Linked DNA regions of Oreochromis niloticus. The protein of the gene in region 1 interacts with the protein of each later gene in a pairwise test. Links are inferred from orthologs where the notes say so. Each region holds a gene or a part of one and is shown in the gene's direction. Other genes may lie near its edges.

Region 1 (7,320 bases):
AGTACACTTTTAATGGCCAGGAGAATCTCCCTTATTACACTTTGTACCTTAAAAAAAGAAACATCATGGGAAACTTTGAGATGTGTATCTCGTTTGAGGCAGAGCGGTGTGAAATGCAATGATTCATAATGAAAACCAAACACCCGTTTCTGTTACCACTGTCCTAAACCAGCTCCAGCACATGTTTAATGCAGCATCAGGTGTTTATTGACAGTCATTTGACAAATGATGTATTAATGTAATCATATGCTGTGAAATGTTTCTGTTTCTCTTTCTGTCTCATTGGTTTTTCCTTCTGTCATCAAAACTCCGCTTGATGTCAGAACCAGAAGGTTTCTGAAAGACAAAAAAAGCTCCTCACAGAGCTTCCCCGATTTCTCAATTGCCAAAATAGCAAATGTTTGCTACCAGTATGTGGCTTCTTTATTTTGTTAAGTGCTCAATTTGTGGGGAAATTCTCCATTTTAGTCATTTTTTTTAATAAAAAAATTATGATTCACTACATTTAGGAATTGTCAGAATGCAGAAAAAACAAAAAATATGAAAGAAACCATGGTCACAGCAGAAAACTACAGATTAGATACTTTTCACACATCTAAATGAAAAACATCCTGATACTTACATGTGAAAGGAAAGTTTGTTTTCTACAAGCTACTGGTTCTGTGAAGTAGTAATGGTTTTCTGTATGACTTTATCAGCATCTCACATCACTGTGGAGGAATTGTGGTCCACTCTTCTTTACAGCGTTGGTTGTAAGGAAGACGGTTTGTGTCCATCTGGGACATTGCAATATCTTGATGCTTTTGTTTTTCTGCCATTCTGTTATAGATTTGCTGCTGTGCTTGGGATCATTGTTTTATTGCATGACCCAGCCATCACAAAAATGGGTGCATGTTCTTTTAGAGCAAAGAGGCTTTCTCCCGATAGTCCTTCCAAAAAAGACAAACTTGTTCAAACCTCTGATTTTATAGAGGCGGTCATACTTACTGATGATCAGTCAGTTAAATGCATTTGATTATCACTGCCTGACTACTTTACTTTAAAAGTAGAATAGGAGGCAGAGCCTTCAGCTTCCTGGCCCCTCTTCTGTAGAACCAGCTCCCAGTTTGGATTCAGGAGGCAGAACCCCTCTCTACTTTTAAGATTAGTATTAAACCTTTCTTTTTGATATAGCAGATAGATCACGTCACCCTGAAACCTCCCTTAGTTACAATGGACTAGGTCTAGGCTGCTAGGGGATTCCCACGATGCACTTCTTTCTTGTTCATTCACCTTTTTCACTCACTATGTGTTTACACCTCTCTGCATTGTATCATTAGTTGTTATTTATCTCTGGCACTCTTCTACAACGTGTCCTCATTCTGTCTTTCAGCCCCCACCCCAACTAGTTGTAGCAGATGGCTGTCCCTCCCTGAGCCTGATTCTGCTGGAGGTTTCTTCTCATTAAAAGGGAGTTTTTTCTTCCCACTGTCGCCAACTGTCCTTGTGATTTGGTGCTATAAAATAAATAGAGTTAATGAAATTACATATACATATTGATTCTGGTTTTAGTAAGCCTGGCCGGATATTACTTGGTATCATTCAGCCATCAAACCTCATGGAATTACTCTCTCACTATCTACAGCATTTGTGGGCATTGGGAAAATGTCATATTTACTGGTTTCAGTTTTCTATGATTTATAGGATTTTAAACGTATGAAACACGCTGCCTCTACATCTAGCCATGATTGTTCTGTTTCTACAGAAATGCAGGATGTTACGGTGTAGTGAAAAATAAACACAGAACACACACAAATGCAGAACAAAAACTACAAATGCCATATTTACTTTCAGAGTGTTTATGGAGAAGTATACAAGTACAAAGACCAGTGTCTTTGTGGATCTAAAGAAAGCACATGACAGGGAGCTTAGAGTGGAACTGTGGGACTGCAGGAGGAAGTCAGGAGTGGCAGAGAAGTGGTGGAGGGCATGTATGAGGACAGCGAGACAGTGGTGAGGTGTGAGGTATGAGTGAAATGTGGGGATGGCATTACGTCAGGGAACTGACCTTCCTACTTAAGATGGTGATGGACAGGCTGACAGATGAAGTCTGGAGTCTCCTTTGACAACGGGTGTAGGGAGCAGGTGGAAGACAGCCTAGGTGGAGGTATGCTCTCGAGAGAAGACGAATGAAAGTCAGTAAAAGCGAGACAGAATAGGTGTGTGTGTAAGGAGACGGGTGTAATGGGGAAGCACCAAAAAGCAGAGGAAGTTAAGATAAATGATCCAAAGCAGTGGACAGTCCACAAGAGAGGGGAAGAAAGGAGTGCAGGCAGGGTGGAGTGGGCGGAGACAAGCTTCAGGTGTGATTTGTGACATGATAGAAGAAAGAATGAAAGGGAGGATTTACAAGAAGGTAGGAAGACCTGCTATGATGTATGCTTTGGAGAATGTGGCACTAACAAAAAGACAGGTGGAAGATTTAAAGATGTTAAGATTTTCTCTGGATTAGAAAGGAGGGCATGATGTAGCAGATGAGGATGCTAATGACAGGGTGAGATGGAGGCAGATGATCTACTGTAGCGACCCCTAAAGGGAGAAGTGGAAAGAAGAAGAAGACTCACAAGCTGTTTGAGTTTTTGGGCACACAAAAGTTTAGACGTAATCTCACCTCTCTGAGAAACCCCTAAATAATCTTAGGATTGAAACCATTTGTTGAGAAAATGTTTTTAATATTCATGAGAAAACCACCAGAATGGAAAACTTGTTATAATATTTAATATATCGCCTCCCCCCAAAAATATTCTGATAGTTAATTTATGAAATGGATACAGTTTACAACAAGCTGGTCTCAAATTTAATGTCTGGAGGAAAAATCCAGGAGCAAAGGAGCAAATACTGCGTCAGTCCTTATCTTAAAAATGCACCTGGTAGACTGATCATCAGGGCCATCTACTGAGCACTCAGAGGAACAACAGCAGGTGGCAGGATGACCTACATGACCCTGAAATTAATTATGCAAAGTGTATAAAATTGACTGAGACTAATAAGGCTTTATTTGCATTAGCATGATAAAGTGTAATCCATAGACAGGCAGGGATATAAGTTTAATTGAAGAACGCTGGCAAGAGTGGGTTTTTTTCTTGGTGTCAGCTACTTTCCCTTCCCTTCTTCCTTGCTCTGTGTCATGCTTTGCTGACTCAAAGGCTGTGTGTGTGTGTGTGTGTGTGTGTGTGTGTGTGTGTGTGTGTGTGTTCTTGGGGATTACCTGGGGAGACAAGTTTAATTTAAAGCCCAATTAAAGGCCAAATTAAAGAGCCCTTATACATGTACGCTAATGCTCTCTTACATGAGTATTAACACAAATTTATTCAGTGTTGTCTATATTAAGTAGCTGCGCCTCTACAGTGTAATAGAGTCACATCCATAAATGCCATTAATGGGACTTGATTACACCGACACTATGAAAACATGTAGGGTAAAACCTGTGATGTATTTGTGAAGAAGGAAACTCAAATGCATTTCAAGGCTTCAAAACTTAGTTTCAATCTTCAAAAGCCTGTAAATGCTTTCAATTCTGTCTGAGATGGGTGTTGTTCCAACTGTTGTTCCATCTTTCTGTATGTTTCCATGTTTAATGTCTTTACTTATATTTATAAATAGACTGTGATCAACAGGATTTAAGAAGAGATTATACATAAAATATAGAAATTAGTAAAAGTATTTCTGCGTTATTGTAGCTACATTGTAATGAATCCAGCCCCTTTTGGCCACTTAAAACATCTTTATAGAGCTGTGATGTCATAATTGTTGCAATTTATGCTGCCTTCTTGGCAAGATCTTTAAAAAACACTACATTTTTAATGTCAGTGAGACTTTTTTGCTGGATAAATAAAGAACAAATAAAAGTAACTCTGCCAAAGATTAATTGCAGATTGTGACAGGAATGTCGTTTCTGTCTCAAAATGACTTGATATCCTCAGAGAGAGATAGGTTTGTATGAGTTTATAGGCCAACAACTTATTCAGAGCTGTTTAAATCGTTTTTTGCGATCGTTTTTTGGCAAATACGGGAAATCACTTTTGGGTTTGTGTCTTTTACCTACTACACAGAAGTTTCAGCTCACACGTTTCTGATTTATTTCCTGTAAGTGTTTAATAATTTAAAACTTATAAACCAACAAGTCAGCCAATTTGTTCCTGGTACAACCCCCTTTTAAAAATTCCGCATATATTTCCTCGCAGCAATAACGTGACCTTTCTTGTTACTGTTCTTTCTAAGAAACCCTCTTTCGCTCTGGGCAATCATAAACACACCGCGCCCTTTAATGGAGCCCTTCATCACGCCCAGTCGAGCCTGTTTCTACACGCCTTTGGCCTCTTCCGTGAAAAAAAGTCGTACTGCTGTCAGCGTCAGACCACTCCCTCCCTGAATTTGAACGGAAGAGCAGTTTAGTCTTGTTTCCCCGTTACAGTGTTTCCCACAGACGTGTCTTCTGAGAAGTATGAGCGTAGCAGAGGATGGCGGAGGCCAGCGCGCTTGAAGAGCTACAGTCGGAGCTCACCTGCCCGGTGTGTTTGGAACTCTTCCGTGATCCCGTGATCCTTGAGTGCGGGCACCACTTCTGCCAGGTGTGCATCATCCAGTGCTGGGAAGCTAAGGCGGACGAACTCTCGAGTTGCCCGAAGTGTAGAAAGTCGTGCGCCCGGAAACTGCGACCCAACTCGCTCCTGTGCAACGTCGTGGATAGTGTGCGCAGAGCCCGCGCCATGGACGCGGCCTCGGGGATGTGCGTGTGGGACCACGAAGGTACACTGGAGATGCCCGAGGACCGCGAGCGGGGTTCGAGCATGAGCAGCGTGGCCTCGTCCATCGGGCACTGGCCACGCCTGGGAATGGGTTTGGATATGTGCGAGGAACACGAGGAGAAGCTGAAGCTCTACTGTGAGGACGACCAGCTTCCCATCTGCCTAGTGTGCGGAATGTCTCGAGACCACAAGAGCCACAATGTCATCCCCATTACAGAGGCTTTTGAAAACTACAGGGTACTGTTTTATTATTGGCTCATTTTTTAAGGCTCCGGGTCTTCCAAAACCTTAAATCAGACATATACAGACAATGTTTTGATTTGACCAACATAATCACCAAATTTGATTTCTTTTTCCACTGTATTTTTTCTGCTCTACAGTGTAACAGCTGGAGCTTCTAGATAAAACAAGGAATCAGAGTTTCAAGGAGTGTCATACTTTACAATGCTTACAACTGGACACTCCTCTTATTGTACTGCAGTACTGTATTCCCTCTCAAGTTTCAAGTATTCCTTTAAGTCATGTCAAAACTACTTTTTTACTAAAAAAACCCCTCAACTGCTCTAATGTAGCAAACAGGCTTTTCATAGATGTAGCAGTTGTGCTTTAAAGAGCACACTCCCTGTCTGCCCCAGGAGTCTTTGGGTATTTTTGTGCATTACAGGAATTCAGCAGACCTGTGTGAACTTCACTACCTTTCAAACCTGGCAGCTGACCTTCATCATGTTGTTTGGAAACCTGCTCTGAGAGGCTTCTCTGTGTGTCTTAACATGTTTAAGCAGTGCTAAATTCCAGCTTTGTTAGATTTTTGGGGTCAGGGCGCTCAGTTGAGGATTGGCGGATGTATGACTCCCATTAAAGACGGGACGCTGTTCAGACTGATGCACGAATCAAATTAACTGTTGATTGAAGCGTAATCTGGTTTATATAACCTCTTTTCAACAAACGTTTTTATGTGATTATCTGTTTGTCCTGCAGGAAAAGCTGTCTGTGGCTCTGGAGAGGGTTCAGGTGCAGACAGAGGAGGCCACACTCTTCCAAAAACAGACCAATGAAAAGATCCTCCTCATTAAGGTATCGTGTCTCTGTGTGTGCTGGCTGTTTCTTTGTGAAGCACTGTGAAAGAAAAACACGCCAGTGTGTTTGTCCTCTAAATATAACCAGAAATTCTAGCGGCCAGGCAACATTCTGACGCATTCCTCCACCTTTACCTGTCAAGACAGAGGGATGACTGGCAGTAGTAATGACTGGTGGTACTAACGACTGGTGGTGACACACCATGTTCTTACTCATCTTTGTTTAGACGTGATAATTATCAGGAGCTCATCCTGGAATAAAAAGGGAGGTTCATGAACATTCACACACGTCATTTTGTGTTTGTCTTCGTCATGCGCTCTTCTTTCACATGTTTTTGCCATTCATGTGCCCTAACTGCTTCATGTCACACAGCTTGCGAGGGAACTCAGCTGATAGAGTTTCGACAGGCACAGGAAGGAGTTCACCGAAACACTCGCTGTGTGTGTTAAACACAGATATGAGGGTAGTGTTAGAGAATGCACTGGAGCATTTCTGCAGTGGCAGATAACTTCGTCTAGCTCTGCTCCAGGTTATTACAGACTGTTTCCTTTACTATCTGTGTGTTTAAATGTGTCAGCGGGTGTATTTTCCTGTCTGTCTGTTTGACCCAGTTTACATGCAGATTCACAGATTTTTTTTTCTTCACTTCTCCCTTTCTCTGTCAGTATGACAGGATGTGGTAGAGCAGAGGAAGTTTGTCACTTTTTCTTCTCTGTGTTAAAAATGCAGACATACCTCTATCTATCTATCTATCTATCTATCTATCTATCTATCTATCTATCTATCTATCTATCTATCTATCTATCTATCTATCTATCTATCTATCGATCGATATAATCATTTGTGCCACATGACATAAAATGTATCGTCTCCTCATAACAATTACTGATTTTTCCCATTTCATGAACCACTTCTGGTCTGAACAGTCACAGTGTAAAGTTGTTGATTTAATCTATTGAATATAAGATTGTAGTCATATTTCCAGAGAAGAAGAAAAAATATAATTTTATGCAACAATAACAGTAAAATAGGACACATCCAGTTTTAGTGTCACACCATTACAGTCAATGAGAAGTAAGTGTGTCATCATTTTCACTGACATGCAACAGTTTAAAAAATATATATATTTATTAAATAGTAATAACTCTGTAATAATAAAACCCTATTAAAACAAAAACATGTAACAAAAATTTCAAATGTGACAAAATAAAACTGAACCCCACCGTTTGTCACAGCATAGCTCGGTATTTTTCCACCCCAGGAAGAGCTTAAAAAGACTCAGAGATCGTTATCATACAAACTCTAAAGCAGTTAAGCATTTTGAAGACAGACTTGGTTTCTGTCAGCTTTAAGGGGCATTTTAGAGTCTTGCTATTGCTTTAAAAAAGAAAAACGTTTTACAAATCAGCTGTGCTTTACCTACTAAGCACTGACAGGCAAAGTTAGTAACTAGTTA
Region 2 (6,878 bases), on another chromosome or scaffold:
GCAGCATGACTAGAACTTTGTAATAAGCTTTTGCAAAAGTTTTGATCTAATGGGCTGTTTTTCTGCGAGCTAACATCTGGATGTGGACACTTAAAAATATTGCCATGAGAACAACTATTCATCCAGCTGGGTTACCCATGTGATGTTTTAATCCACTTAAGCTTCCCAGTCTGATACCGGTTAAGCTTTCCTCTCTTACCTGCAGGTCATCACTGTTAAGATTTCATTGTGTTAAATGTGCTTGCAGTAACTAGGAGAATCTTGTTTAACAAGTGATAATAGCTTACATATTCTCATTAAAACTAAATACTCCCAATTCTAATGCTTTCTGTTTCCTTAAAGCACTCAGCATACCGAGTAAGTACAGTTTAAAGGTCAAAAGCAGTAAATAGGTGAGAATATACTTCACCTGTCAACTCCCAGTCTTTGACGCTCTCCCTGTCTCTCGTCACACTTCCCAGCACCTCCCTGGGCACCGGCTCCATGCGGCAGTCCATCTTCCCTTGTTTGCTGCTGTTGGATGTCTGCATGGCATTCTTGAAGAATCCGTTGATCTCCTGAAAGTCCATACCCTCCAGTTCTTGGGTCAACTCGGCCTGTTCTTCAGGGCTCAGCTCGTTCCAGAACTGCAGGAGGTGAGACTGGCCGGCGTCAGCCAGCTTCTGCCTGAGTGCGCTGATGTTTGGGTCCATGATCACCTGTGCTTTTAATTAACTGTGGGAAAAAAAGATTATGTTATTTAAAAAGAACTGCAAAAAATGCCCCAGGTCTCGTGTTGTTTTTGTATAAGCCGGTGGCCTTTATGTAAATATAAAAAAAGAGATGATAAGAGAAAGGTCACACTACAATATCCAAACATTTGCAGGGTTTTTCCCCACATATAGATCTGGCCTTCCGCAAGGACTTTATTAAAAATACTTGTAGCTTTTTTTAAACAGTGAGGTTTTATTCACCCTTAAATACATTTTTTGAAGTAAAATTGACAAAAAATTGCAGAAATAATCTGTTAGATAAGGTAACACAGACTCTTTCCAAAAAATTCATGTGGACCAGTCATATTTATTGGCACAGTTACCACTAAAAGCTCATTTTGAGCTCCCAAGAAACTGTATGTGTATATAAAAACAAATTTAGGATTAAAAAAAAAAACTGATGACATAGTCAATGTGCCTAAAGTGAAACATGATAAGAGTATCTTATAGCCCTGTGCTAGTTGTAGTGTTGGTAAAACAAGCACTGCTGGAATGCTTATCCTATTTGTTTGACTCCACACCCACATTTGACAGGAAGTCATCACAACACTAAAGGATAAGGTCGAGGACAGTTTCATGTTATACCACAGTGTGAATACTGACTCTTTTATACCCAATATGTTTGCTTATTATGATTGATAATTACAACAGTAAAATAATAGCTGTGTCACAACGCGATATTATGAACCCGCGATGTTTTCTAAGAGGGTTTACACCAAAGAAACCTCCTCTGTAAGTGAGCTTTCCAATGGGATGCTGACGACTAACACCACAGGCACACACCCTGAACTATCTACAGCTGTAATACACAATATTCATATATCACTTATAGTTAAAGTGTTCATACAACTTTTAAACTTCACGTCTCCAGCATGACCGCGACGTTGAGCCTGTAAAGAGGTAGCAGGGACTGCTGTGTTGACTCGGAGCACAGATAAATCCAGTGTTAGCACAGTGTAATAATACAGACTGTTGCTAAGAAGCGCGTAGATTTAGTGAACCACATTTTCAGTCACTGTATATGATAGTTAGCCGCGGTCTGCGCATCAGTCAAGCTACAGCCGGGCACATGTTAGCAAATATCCGCCCGACTGAGGAGCGGGAAACCGCTCGGCTCGCTGTACACATAGCAGATAGAAGTAAATCAAATATTTAACTCTTACCTCTCACAAAGACTCCTCTCCGGTGTAAGATCATTAATGCCAATCGATGACTACTCGCTCGCACTGGTCACTATACGCCTCCCTCCCGGAATACACCTCCTGCTACGTCACATTTGACGTGGCATCAGTGTGCGCGTGTGTATGTGTAGCCAAGTCAGAGATGCGTTCAAGTGCCACCTGTAAATTTAATCACTCTATGCTAGGAGTGTGGGGGAAAAAAGGCACGGGAGCCAGAATCTGTCAGGTGTTGTGCCAAAAACTGTTTTCTATCTATGTAATATATTTGCTTATATTGTTAAATAGACTGTAGTCAATAGGATTTCTGAAAAGGTTATATATAAAATAAAGACATGGCCTGTTTTGCAAGAACCTTTCTTGATTTTACCTATTTTATAATCACAGCACTCTATTTTGGCCACTTAAAATATCTTGAGATAACCATTTCTTGCCATTTCTGCTGCCCTCTTGGGCACATCTTTCTTGAAAAATACATTTTTGACGTCAATTTCCCTTTTTACCAGGATAAATGAAGGATATATACAAGTCCCCTTGCCAAAAACTGATCACAGCTTTTATTTTGTCTTGAAATCATGTTTGAGAAACATGTCTGAAATTTTCTTGTCAGATTATATTGCAACAAGTCATGTACAGCATTTTAAATATAGCTAATCGGTTTTTTTGCACCACACCAGCAAAGACTCTTATTACCTCTGGACAGCTTTGGAAAATGTGAAGCAAAATGAACGACTAACTGTATTTTTGTAAATTTTATTTATATAAATTTTATGGCTTCGCCTACTGAGCCCAAAGAGATATGTTGACAGTTTCTTTTAATTCTTTAATAAAGAGATGAAAATGCACTTCTTTTTCTGATATATCTGCATTTGCTGACATGTTTTGAATCATGCACGCTTTATGTCATACTACTTGTCATGATTTTTCACTATAAATATTGTATTCAAATCATGTAAAATGCAAAATATTTCTACTTGTTTTTAACAGTCTTTGATAGTCTTTAACAGCTTTATGAATGTAATCAAAGGTAAACCATCAGACAGGTAGAGACAGAGCAGTCAGCTTCAATGAACCAGCTAATGTACATATCTCCACTTGTGTGTGTGTGTGTTTATCTTCATTTTCTAACAATTAGCATATGAATTGTGTTTATCTGAAGAGAAAGCATGTATTACCCTTTAATTATTTCATGCACGTCCTAAAAAAAACTTACATTGAACCCCCCCCCCTACACACACACACACACACACACACACACACACACACACACACAAAAGATAGCTACAGAAATGAGATGGCAGCAGCCCTGCTGACCCCAAATCATTATTGTCTCTTATCATTAACAGAAATAAGAATAGCTTATTTCATACAGCTCTCAGCAGCAGCCTTGAGAGCTGTATGATCCAGCTGCTGAAACGTTGGCACAAAACCCGACTGTTGTTTGGTGACAGAGTCCATGGCTGACAACACAGCAGCTCCAAATAGGATCCTGTCAGGCTCCCAAATCCAGAATCCTCAGACACCTAAAGAGTTAGAGGGGGCTGCTCTGATAATGCCAGGTGTCAGACTGGATGATTATCAGCAGCACCCAGCTGATACTGTATACTCATTTCAGTTCAGTTCATTGACCTGAAAAAATAGCCACAATAGTCTGTTAATAGACTAGTTCTAAATCTAATTGTAAGATTAAAACACTTAATTTTAAAACGATAATCAACACAAACCAATTTCTGTGCTGACCTTTGAGCCAGTCAATACTAGGGTAATATGCACAAATTTCTGAGAACATGGAAGTACATGTAAACAAACAAAAGAAAAAAAAAAGGTCAATTATAAAAAAGTTGCCTTGTAAAACACGAACCACTGATCTGGAATGGTTGGACTTTCACTTCTGAGTTCAACCACGAGGGGGCGACCGTCTCTCCTGATGAGGCGGAAGCAGTTTGTTCTCATTTGAAACAATTTTGTTGTGGTCCTCCTCTTCCTCGCTAAAACCAGGCTGGGTGCTGCCCATCTGTTTGTTTTTCCCTGGTGGTCAGATTTTTGTGCGGCTACAGAAAATGAAGAAGTTTTTCGATGACATTAAGAAAGACATCAAATTTAAATCCGCGGGACCCGGGAAGAAACTAACGGAAGACACCAGGCAAATAACAAACTTTTCTTTTCTCAGCTGCTACAGCGCTAAGCAAAGCTAGCCGTACAGATAGCTATTTAACATCGGCTAAACGGGCTTATCTCATAGCTGACAGTTGGTCAGTAATGAGTACCGCTTTTCCGTCTCCCCATGTATTGAAGCTAACCACAACAGTGCTAATTTGTGTGTGTTTTTCTCACGGTTGTGCGTCAAACGGCTAACTGTTATATAATCTTGAGCACGGCGGGAGGCGACTGTATAATTTCAGGGTAACCTGACTAACAGTTAATCCCTGCACAAGCTTGTTTAGATAAAGGACTAAGCAAACCTGCTTCTCAACAGGAAGCAGAGCTGCTGTGATTCTGACGTATTTGTACTGTTGTCGTTGCTACTTAGCTTAGCACTGTCTTCTTCCTACTGTGAAGCCACAACACGTCTCCTCTTATAGTGCTGTTTCTCTCCTAATAACCCTACAGTGCCAAGCCTGAGGTGGTGCAGGGTAGATCCAGTAGCAAGCACGATCGGCATGCCCCCAGTGAAGGAGCCCAGAGGGCTGGAGCTGCAGCCTTGGCCAGGATTGAACAGCATCAGAAGCCGAAGGTTCACACCTCCCAGGACGCCATTAGGACCCAGGGTGAGACATGCAGCCCTGTTATTACACCAGGCGGTGTCTCAGTTCAAACACAGATGAACGTCAGCCTCCTTGTTTCAGTTGTGGGTATTAGGATAATTCAGTTGTGGGTATTTAAACATGTTTTAGACTCTGAAGCACTCTACAGATTATTACAGTTGATCTAGTTAAAAAAAGTCATATCTTCTAAATTTATTATCTGCTACTGTAATATATCCAGTACATCTATGAAAGAACAGACACCAGAAACATTTATTACCTCTGAAAAACCACATCATCAAAGAAGTCACCCATCCATTCATTTTCTGCTGTTTAACTGAGGCTGGGTAGTAAGGGCAGCAGCCTAAGCAGAGAAGCCCAGACTCTCCCCCCAGCCACTTCCTCCAGCTCATTTAGGGGGAACACAGGTGTTCCCAGGTCAGCTGAGAGATACAATCTTTTCAGCATGTCCTGCGTGTTACCTGGGGCCTTCTCCCAGTAGGACATGCCCAGAACACCTCACCTAGGAGGCGTACTAGTCAGATCCCCGAACAACCTCAGTTGTTTGGAGCAGCTCTACTCTGAGTCCCTCACAAATCAACTCCTCACCCTGTCTCTAAGGGAGAGGCCAGCTACCCTTCGGAGAAAACTACTGTCCAAGGTGTGCATCCACAGTGTCATTCTTTTAGTCATTACCCAGAACTTGTGACCACTGATCAGCTCTCTCTTCACCCTGCATCACTGCAGAAGTCTGTCAGTCTCTTGCTTCCTTCTCAGATATTTAAATTCTTCCACTTGAGGTAGCAAAACGTCCCTGAATCAAAGAAGTATTTATTTTTAAAAATCATTGTTTTTGTATTCATGGGAAAAAATGTGTCAAGTACATAATCTTTATGTTTATGTTAAGATGCTAAACCTGTGAAGTCCACGGAAAGTAGATATGATTAGATACTGTTTTACACTGATGAAGCAAATATATTCTGGTTATGACGGTTGTTTTCTACACGTGCTTGCAGTAAAAAGAGAACTCGAGGCCGAGGCAGCTGCACTTGCTGAAAAAGAAAAGGCAGCTGCAGCAGAGGTAAGTGTTGCATAAACCAGAATTGTGACACAATTTTCATGCTAATTTTGGTTCACATCGACTGTGCTTAACTTCATAAAATATTTCCATTTTTTCTTTCACTTTGAAGAAGACAGTATTCCTGATAAGCTGTTTTCACGGCTGATTAAAGTGAATATTCCTGTTTATACACAGCCTATCATACAGTGTCCAGTGTCAAAAAGGGCAGCATAGGTGCAGACAGCTGTTCATCTCAATGTCAGTTTCATAATATTGGAAAGTAGGTGACTTTCTCCAGCCAGACAGTGGGCTTTTGTTTTAGTCTTCCCTTATTTACCTTAAACCTGTTCAGTACTAAAATGTTTTTATCACAATCCTGGTGGTTTTCTTTAGTTGAAAAGCCAGAACTTTCTTTTTTTTATGGGCACCAATTTTTTTTTATATGCATAAAAAACCCTTTATGCTTGTCAGTGGTAGTGAGGCCTAATTGAGAATATGAGAAAAGGAGCCAGCTATTCATGTGAGCTGTATTAAATTCAGAGTAATAGCGGTGGCCTGTTGGTGTGGATGAAAATTTCATCACTGAATCTAACAACACTGAATGACATTTTCCTCCCAGGGCTCCAAAGTGCCAGTGAAAGATCCCACCCTTCTCTCAGTATCAGGTGTCTATTTCATCTGTCCACTAACTGGAGCCACATTAACCAAGAGCGAGAGGGAAGTACACATTAAAGAGGCCATTTTAATGGTATGTCTGAGGATGTTGGTTCAGTTATAACGTGTGTGCAGTCAGACTGAATGCTAATCTCGTTGGTGCTTTTGATAAACATGCCATTTTTGACTGCAGCGGTTTGAGGAAGATGAAGTCGAGGCGTCGGTTATGATGATGCACACATTTAACAAAGACAGAGAGAAAGTGAAGGCTGCGGTGGACATCATAAGCAAGTAAGACGCTGATGGTTATGTTAATTACATATGTAAATGTTTTATGCTGTTGTCACAGATTTTGAATATCTGTTCTAGACATCAAAGGTTTTTTTGTTGTCATTGTTTTGTTTCCAGATATGTTGAAAATATATGCAAGAACCCCACAGAAGAGAAATACAGGAAAATTAAACTCAACAACAAAGTGTTTCAGGTGTGT
Region 3 (7,343 bases), on another chromosome or scaffold:
ACAGAACATTTCCTACAGCTTTTTCCATGAAGTGCTCACCTTTAGTAGCAACAGTGCTTTGACTCTTCAGCCTCTTGAGTGCATTCACTGCAACACTCATATATTTGAGCTTGTTCGCACTCCGATTGTACACCGTCTTCTCTTCAGCAAGAGCCTATCAACAGAAAGATCAGAGAAAAAATAAATACATACATGTTTCTCTTTCCACACTAGGGTTTGTTCATGAGGAGATGGTGGCATATGTTTACCTTTTCAAAGGCATCATTAACATTGGGTGTCGTTTTGAGGAACTCCTCTGTGAACATGTTGACATACCGCTGTCTGACATCATGGGGCACTTTGTCTTTGGCAGCCTCACACTGCTGCTTCAGTTTTCGTTTAGCAGGCAACGGCTGTGGGGACAGAACCACTTAATATTTATCAAGCGGGTTAAGCATTTAACTAGTACTGACGATCCAGGTTTAGTTGAAGTTCTTACCTTTGCAGAAGCTTGACCAGAACTTTGAGGAACAGTAGAAATAGTTGAACTTGAACGTAAAGATGCAGATGTAAAAGTAGAGTTTAGTAAAGGTCTGCGTGCAACAGCAGGAATGAGCATTGGTGCTGTCAGGCGGCATCGCTGCATAGGATGCATAGGAGTAACTGCATGTGGATGGTATGTTTGTTTGATAGCAAGGGCCCTTGTGTGAACCTGATTTATTGGAGTTAAAACTGGAGTAACTGGATTGGAATTGGAAGAAATGGGCACAGGGAAGGCACCGTCTGGAAGGATCAAATGCAAGTTGTTGCCCACTTCAATAACAGCTGGTCCCAAAGGTATATAGTTCACAAAAGCTGTAGAACAGAAAAAATGTGTACTGAGGAAAAGCTACTAAGAGCATACTCATACTAGACATGGTTTACTTGTACTGTGCCAATTAAAAAAGAAAAAATACACAAGATGCAAACTTGCACAGAAATTTTGGAAATGCTGCTAGAGCTACATAGAGCAATACAGGTATGCTTTAGTGATAAAACTTTCTATATCAAACACAAAAATACAATTTAAATGAAGTGCTTTCGTTTATTGGAATGGTTTTTGTATATATTATTGTATATACATATGTACATACATTGGTTGCACTTCAGATTAGATGCCAAACTGCATTTCATTTTTTGAGTTATACTATCTCAATGACAGTGATCTGAATCTAATCCAATTTCATTTACACATTATCATGCTCTTGCATTTTTAATTTTTTTAATGTGTCTAAGAACTAAACAATCATCACTACTACCGCCAACCGATACTTACCATTGCGCACAGGAGCGGGCTGCAGGGTTTCAGGGTTTTGAGTTAAAACAGAAGGTGAAAACTGGGTCTCTGGTTTCTTCTGAGAGGTGGAGGAAACAAAAGCCTGCCCACCTTTAACTGAGGCAGTCAGAGTGGAAGCTCTCTGCTGAACCTGCTGGGTTTTGGAACTGACAGAGGATCTAGAGCCAAATCCTGAAGTTACTGGCTCACAGAGTGGAACCAAAACCTGCGGCTGAGGCCTGCTCTTAGCTACTGGCTGCTGCACAGAGGAGGTCATTCAAAACACATGCTTAATTTTGATTATGCAATCCTGGGTAAAGATTAGTCAAATTACATCATGTCACAGCAGATCTTAAAAAAGGCCACGACTTCTAGTGAGTCATTACGGACATAAATGTCCAACGCTACTTTTTAATCTTCCTGAGGGTGACCTTTCATCTGCCAAGCATGGTGATTTTTTCACATTTCTGTCATATTATTTTTAATACATTATTCAATTAAAATTCTTTATCATTATTAAAAACTCTTGTAGCGTGGGTATTAAAATACTGTTTAGGCAATAAAAACTGTTTTGGATTGCATTAGTTTAAAACAAATTATAAAAATTTTAAAAAAAGGACATCTCCTGTCTAAACACACATTTTGCTATGAGACTGGACTGTACGTACCTCTGTTTGTTTGGCTTCATGAGCCACTCTTTTCCTTCCTGGTAATCCCTTGGATGTGACATTTACCTCCATCTTCTCTGCATCCACAGCCCCTAACTAAGAAATACAAGGGGAGAGAAAAAAATCTTTACATTCTCAAAAGAATTTCTTCATAATGAATTTGCAGTTTCTACAGGCTACTTACACATGCACTAGGAGTCTCTTCAGTTCCTTTTCCCTCATTGTTTGCCTCCATGAAGATCCTGTAGCATTCCTCCATTGGGTCGCTGTCTGAGAGCTCCACTGCTGAATGGTTGGGCCCTTCCTCCTCCTCATCAGAGCTGGAGTTGATTAGTATGACCTCTTCATCATTTACCATCACCAAATTCTGCTCAGAACACGGTTCGGCTCCGAATTGTGAGCTGACATAGGTTGACAAAACATGCCGACCCTCAAACTCACTGTTCTCTGACCCTTGTTCTGCTTGCTCTAGAGGCAACTTATCACCGTCAGCAGCTATTCCCTGTGTCTGTCCTGACATTTTGCTTGACTTTTTCTGGTTTCCCATCACCGCTGAGGGTGTACTTTTCTCAGAACACCTGTGACTTTGAACTCTGTCCTGAGGCACTTGCCTGCGTGATGAGTTAGCAGCTGGAGATTTACAAAAAAGTAAATTCATGGGCGTCTTCTGCGGATTCATTTTCTCAAAGATACTGGGCAGCTCACACTGAGGATTGTTCAGGTTGTGATCTTGTTGTTTGGGGATCTTCTCCAATACTGCTTTAGTAATTTTTTGACATTCATTTGCAAGGTCGTCTGGACTATCTGTTAAGTCCACTACATTGGCACCATTTTTTAGATCTTCAGACTCTTTGGCAGGACTTATAGTCAGTAAGTCTTGACTGTTTTCAACAGAATAATGATGAATTTTATTTGAATCTGATGAAGACAGAGTGATTTTATTGTGTGGTGATGGAGAATTAGGTAAATTAGGCTCTTTTTTCCCCCCCTTTACCTCCACTGCTGTCACCTGAGAGGATTTACCTGCTACAGACTTAGCAGTTCTCTGACCCGTTTTCTCAGGAGAAGGAGGAACATCAATAATTAGGTCTTCACCTTCAGAAGAGACATCAAGTGGCTCCGGAGATGGTGATCGGGAAAGCGGTGCCTGATACGCAAATGGTTCTTTATCAATACATGGGGCAGTGCTTTCTGGACTTTTGTCTTTTACTTGTCTACTTTTCAACTTCTGCTCCTTTGTCAATGAGCTGAGAGAGAGCAAGTCTGCAGAGAAGTTGGATAGTGGGTCATACTCCAAATCAGTCCTCGGTTTTGAGTTGTCAACCACATACTTCTTTCCTCGCTGGTGTGCTTTAGTAAAATCTGTGCGAGACGATGGCCCATAAGCTTTTCTGTCTACAGTTTTACTCCCAGACTCACGCTTGGAAGCAGGCGTGTTGTTTATGCGGTCTGCCTGTACAGTCTGGTAGCGTGACAGTCGCCTCCGCTCTTGCTCCACCTCATGCCTTACAGATTCAATCTCCTTGTTGATCCGCTCCAGCTCATGAAGGCAGTCATCTCCACAGCCCGTATAAGGCCTCTGTCCTTCTGTTCAACGTGAACATGAAATAGGATAAGTATTTACTTAAATGTAAGTGGCAGCTTGATCATTTGCAGTTTAGTTTTTAAGCAGTTTTTGTGCTATATGATGTGTGAAGATCCTATCGTGCCCCTTTAATGAGAAAGTAGAACTCAGGAAAACAAGGTAGAAGGTAGTTTTTTTTAAGAAAACACTTGTCCTTACCTGCAGTTACAATAATGTGCTTAATTTTTATGTTACACCTGTAACTTTAAAAACCCTCTTAATCGATTTAAAAGCTTCTTATAATTCCCAGGGTTTATGGGGGTTTTCTTAAACAATTAAACCCTTTTAACAGGTAAAACAGCAAGCTAATGCACAAGTGTTCGAAGTCAGTTGGCATAGTTGAAGCACTCACCTGTGAAGTCCACTTTGGATGATTCAAATGAGACAGCAAACCAGTCCCGCGCCTGCTTTGCAGGATGTTTGTATAAACAGTGAGGCCGCTCACAACGCCCATGTTGTGAGAAGGGGCAGTTTATACCGGCAAAAAAGCCCGAGGAGGGAAACATTAGCCACTTCGCGCAATTTTTTTCGCAGTTTTTTTTTTTTTTTTTTATAATTAACGAACGGACGTTAGCAGTTGGAGCCTCCAAATTAACGTCAGGTGACGTCAGCCTCGTTTATATAGGTTCTGCTCAGGTCGCGTGACGACTGTTGAAAAACTCATTTTAATACCCTCAAATAACACATTATTCCGTAACATTTAAAAATTTTGATTTTATTTATTATGTTTGCAAATTTAAAAAAAAAAATGCATTTATAGAAACTTTTTTTTGTAGTTGCTGCGTTGCAGTAACCCCTCCACGTCGAGAGACGGCAACGTTGCACGTAACTGAATTGGGACCTACAATGAAAGAACTATTACGACAACAACAGCAGCAGTAGTCGTAGCAGTCTATATTTCTGCAAAATTTATTAAATTTGCGAGTTTTGAGATGGAAAACAGCGAGGATGAGGAGGATGAAAACGAGTGGAGGAACAGTTTCGTGGATTCATCGACACATAGCCCCCCTGCGGCTGCTGCTTCAGGTAAACTTGGAGACTTAAGCTAGGCAGTCTGAAACTGAAATCTGACAGTTGCTCTTTGCTTTCATATGACTTTCAGAGTTCGAGATATGGTAACTGTTGTACATATAATGTGTGTTTCAGGACCAAGCATCAGTAAAACGCCAGTACCTGCACACAGAGTCATTTTGCATTTTGACCTGGACTGCTTCTATGCTCAGGTGGAAATGATCAGAAACCCTGCACTGAGAGAAGTCCCGTTAGGTAAACTCGCATGCTATAAAAGCTGCAAAAGACAAAAGTGTAAAAAATATTTGTGCCAAAGCTTCTAAATGACTCTCATATCATCAGGTATACAGCAGAAGTACATCATAGTGACCTGTAACTATGTGGCAAGGGAGAGGGGTGTCAACAAGCTTATGTCTGTGACTGATGCTAAGGAGAAATGTCCTGAGCTGGTGCTGGTTAAAGGAGAAGACCTCACGCACTACAGAGAGATGTCATATAAAATGACAGGTAAGCAGTGCATCACACCAGTGTGACGTGACAACAGTGCTCTGTAGTAAATAAAGTAATTTTTTTTGTCGTAGTGTGCAGTATGACATTAAAGTGCACTCTGAGAAAATGTAATTGTAGTTGCTACAATAAAAGAAGCTTGGAAGATCAGACCAAGTGCTAAAAATGGAGATTAGGGTCGCACCATAGCAATCAGGTTGGACTTTGGTCCACTGCAGCATCTTAATTCTTTTCTTTTTCAGCCATTCTGCTGTAGATTTTCTTTTCAGGTTCTGTGGCTGCAAAACAAGCCCAGATTAGCACCATGCTTGACAGCTGGTATAAGGTGTTTGCGCTAATATGCTGTTTCTTTGATTTACAGCCAAATATTTCCACTTTGGCTTTGAAAAAAAAAAGTCATCCTTGATTTGTGCTGAATGCTTTTTATAGAGGTGGTCACACTTGCTGATGAAAAAATAATCACCTGCATTTGATTTGCAGCACCTGGCTGGTACTTTACCCTCTTAATTCCTATGGAGGTATTCATGTGGTGGTATGCTTAGTTTTTTACAGGGCTACATAGAGTCCTGTAAAAACTTTTCACATGACTGAGAGATGTGGGTAACAAGAGGGCCTTGCTGTAACTTCTTTTGACTAGCCATTTATGCCAGATGGTGACATGACCCTTAAAGTTTATCTGGGATGCCGTTTTTCTCCGGTGACTAGTGTTTGTTTCTATGACATGGACTTATTTTCAGCTTGTAGCAAGCAAATTAAATAGTGAGCTGCTTAAAGCAACAAGGTATCAAATTTTGGAGTCGGTCTCTTAAAGAAAATCATGATTTGGGCAACTTTTAAATGCCACAATTCATAATAAAAACAACCCTTTTTGACTCAACTGCTAAAATCTCCCATTTCTACATTTCAGCATTTGTTTTCCTCAAGAATGTAAACAGTTTTTAACCCACTGTTTGGTTCACCACCCTCCTGGTGTTCCTGGGTGGTTACTAGAAACTAAATGGAGTAAATGGAATTGATGTTTTCATCTGATAACCGTTTGTATATATTTACCTTTTCTCGTTTGCCATCCAGAGCTGCTGATGTCTTATTGTCCTCTCGTGGAAAGGCTTGGATTTGATGAAAACTTCATGGACGTCACTGAGATGGTAGAACAAAGGCTTGCACAGACAGTGAAGTCTGAAGACTTTTCATTTAAAGGACACGTCTACAATCATCCAAGTAAGTCACATTCGTGCTTCTCAAGTGTAGATGTACATCTGGCCCACTGAAACTGGGAAATGGCTCGTGAAAATAGCTCAAACTCGTGAGATATTTGCATAGTGCTTTCAGTTTCGTTCTTCATGAACAGCTCACCTGCAGATCCTAAACTGTATCACGTGTGCTCATACCCACAGTTTTTCCCCTTCCTGTTCAGGTGCAGATGTTAAAGCCAGTAACTACCCAAGGTTGGCTTTAGGTTCACACATTGCAGGAGAGCTCAGAGAAGCCGTCCATAGCAAACTGGGCCTGACCGGCTGTGCTGGCATCGCCACAAACAAGCTGCTAGCCAAACTGGTTTCAGGCACCTTCAAACCCAACCAGCAAACCACTCTGCTCCCAGAAAACATCAGTGACATCATGGGCTGCCTAGGCAGTGTCCGCAAAGTGCCAGGTATAGATGCTCTAAAAGATAGTTAATCATCAGTAGATGGTAGGTAGGTGAACAGAAGTACATAACATGATATGCATCGAGAAACCCGTGTGGTGTCCTCGGGATTCCCATATACTTGTTTGCCATTCACCTAGGGACCATTTTTGACCCGAGGACACCACAAGGGTTACGTTTTAATGACTTATAGTTGTTACACTGTTGTCCTTAACATTTGGAGCATTTTTAAAGATGCTTTCATCCAAAACTCACTGATGCATTTTTGTTGTGTCTCACATGTGTTAAGTATGTCTGATGATATATTTTGTGGTGCCATCTTGTATTCTCAGGGGTGGGTCACCAAACTGCTAAGAGACTTCAAGCCCTGGGATTGGTCAGTGTAAAAGACCTGCAGCTGTGTCCGCTGAATGACCTGGTGAAGGAGTTTGGGAGTCCCACTGCTCAGCGTTTGAAGAATCTGGCCCTCGGTGTTGATGACTCACCTGTCACTTGTACTGGGGCCCCTCAGGTAGGCTGGGACATCTGAAATTCCCGGTATCTAAGAAAGCTAGGGTTAGGTAGCTGTATGAGTTTTTCTGCTTTGTAGCTACA

Evidence for each region. The genes of interacting proteins can lie anywhere in the genome.
Region 2: the proteins of nuclear factor 7, brain (region 1) and ubxn6 interact in binary tests that used the Homo sapiens proteins (3 or more experiments, as listed by UniProt). The link is inferred for Oreochromis niloticus from reciprocal best matches to the Homo sapiens genes TRIM39 and UBXN6.
Region 3: the proteins of nuclear factor 7, brain (region 1) and poli interact in binary tests that used the Homo sapiens proteins (3 or more experiments, as listed by UniProt). The two-hybrid records come from large-scale screens. The link is inferred for Oreochromis niloticus from reciprocal best matches to the Homo sapiens genes TRIM39 and POLI.

The regions. Positions count from the first base shown.
Region 1 is NC_031966.2:22,736,363-22,743,682, reverse strand, and holds the start of nuclear factor 7, brain, read left to right. Parts: upstream 1-4,312; 5' UTR 4,313-4,499; coding exon 4,500-5,024; intron 5,025-5,765; coding exon 5,766-5,861; intron 5,862-7,320.
Region 2 is NC_031986.2:39,718,794-39,725,671, forward strand, and holds the start of ubxn6 (UBX domain-containing protein 6), read left to right. Parts: upstream 1-3,856; 5' UTR 3,857-3,990; coding exon 3,991-4,073; intron 4,074-4,540; coding exon 4,541-4,698; intron 4,699-5,690; coding exon 5,691-5,755; intron 5,756-6,353; coding exon 6,354-6,482; intron 6,483-6,581; coding exon 6,582-6,679; intron 6,680-6,796; coding exon 6,797-6,872; intron 6,873-6,878. Other genes in the region: uap1 (UDP-N-acetylhexosamine pyrophosphorylase), read right to left, coding at 410-692. UniProt on the Homo sapiens protein: May negatively regulate the ATPase activity of VCP, an ATP-driven segregase that associates with different cofactors to control a wide variety of cellular processes.
Region 3 is NC_031977.2:28,645,199-28,652,541, reverse strand, and holds the start of poli (DNA polymerase iota), read left to right. Parts: upstream 1-4,321; 5' UTR 4,322-4,518; coding exon 4,519-4,612; intron 4,613-4,732; coding exon 4,733-4,852; intron 4,853-4,939; coding exon 4,940-5,104; intron 5,105-6,175; coding exon 6,176-6,322; intron 6,323-6,518; coding exon 6,519-6,755; intron 6,756-7,081; coding exon 7,082-7,260; intron 7,261-7,343. Other genes in the region: RNA exonuclease 1 homolog, read right to left, coding at 40-154, 249-392, 479-834, 1,295-1,553, 1,963-2,058, 2,147-3,549, 3,939-4,092. UniProt on the Homo sapiens protein: Error-prone DNA polymerase specifically involved in DNA repair. Plays an important role in translesion synthesis, where the normal high-fidelity DNA polymerases cannot proceed and DNA synthesis stalls. Favors Hoogsteen base-pairing in the active site.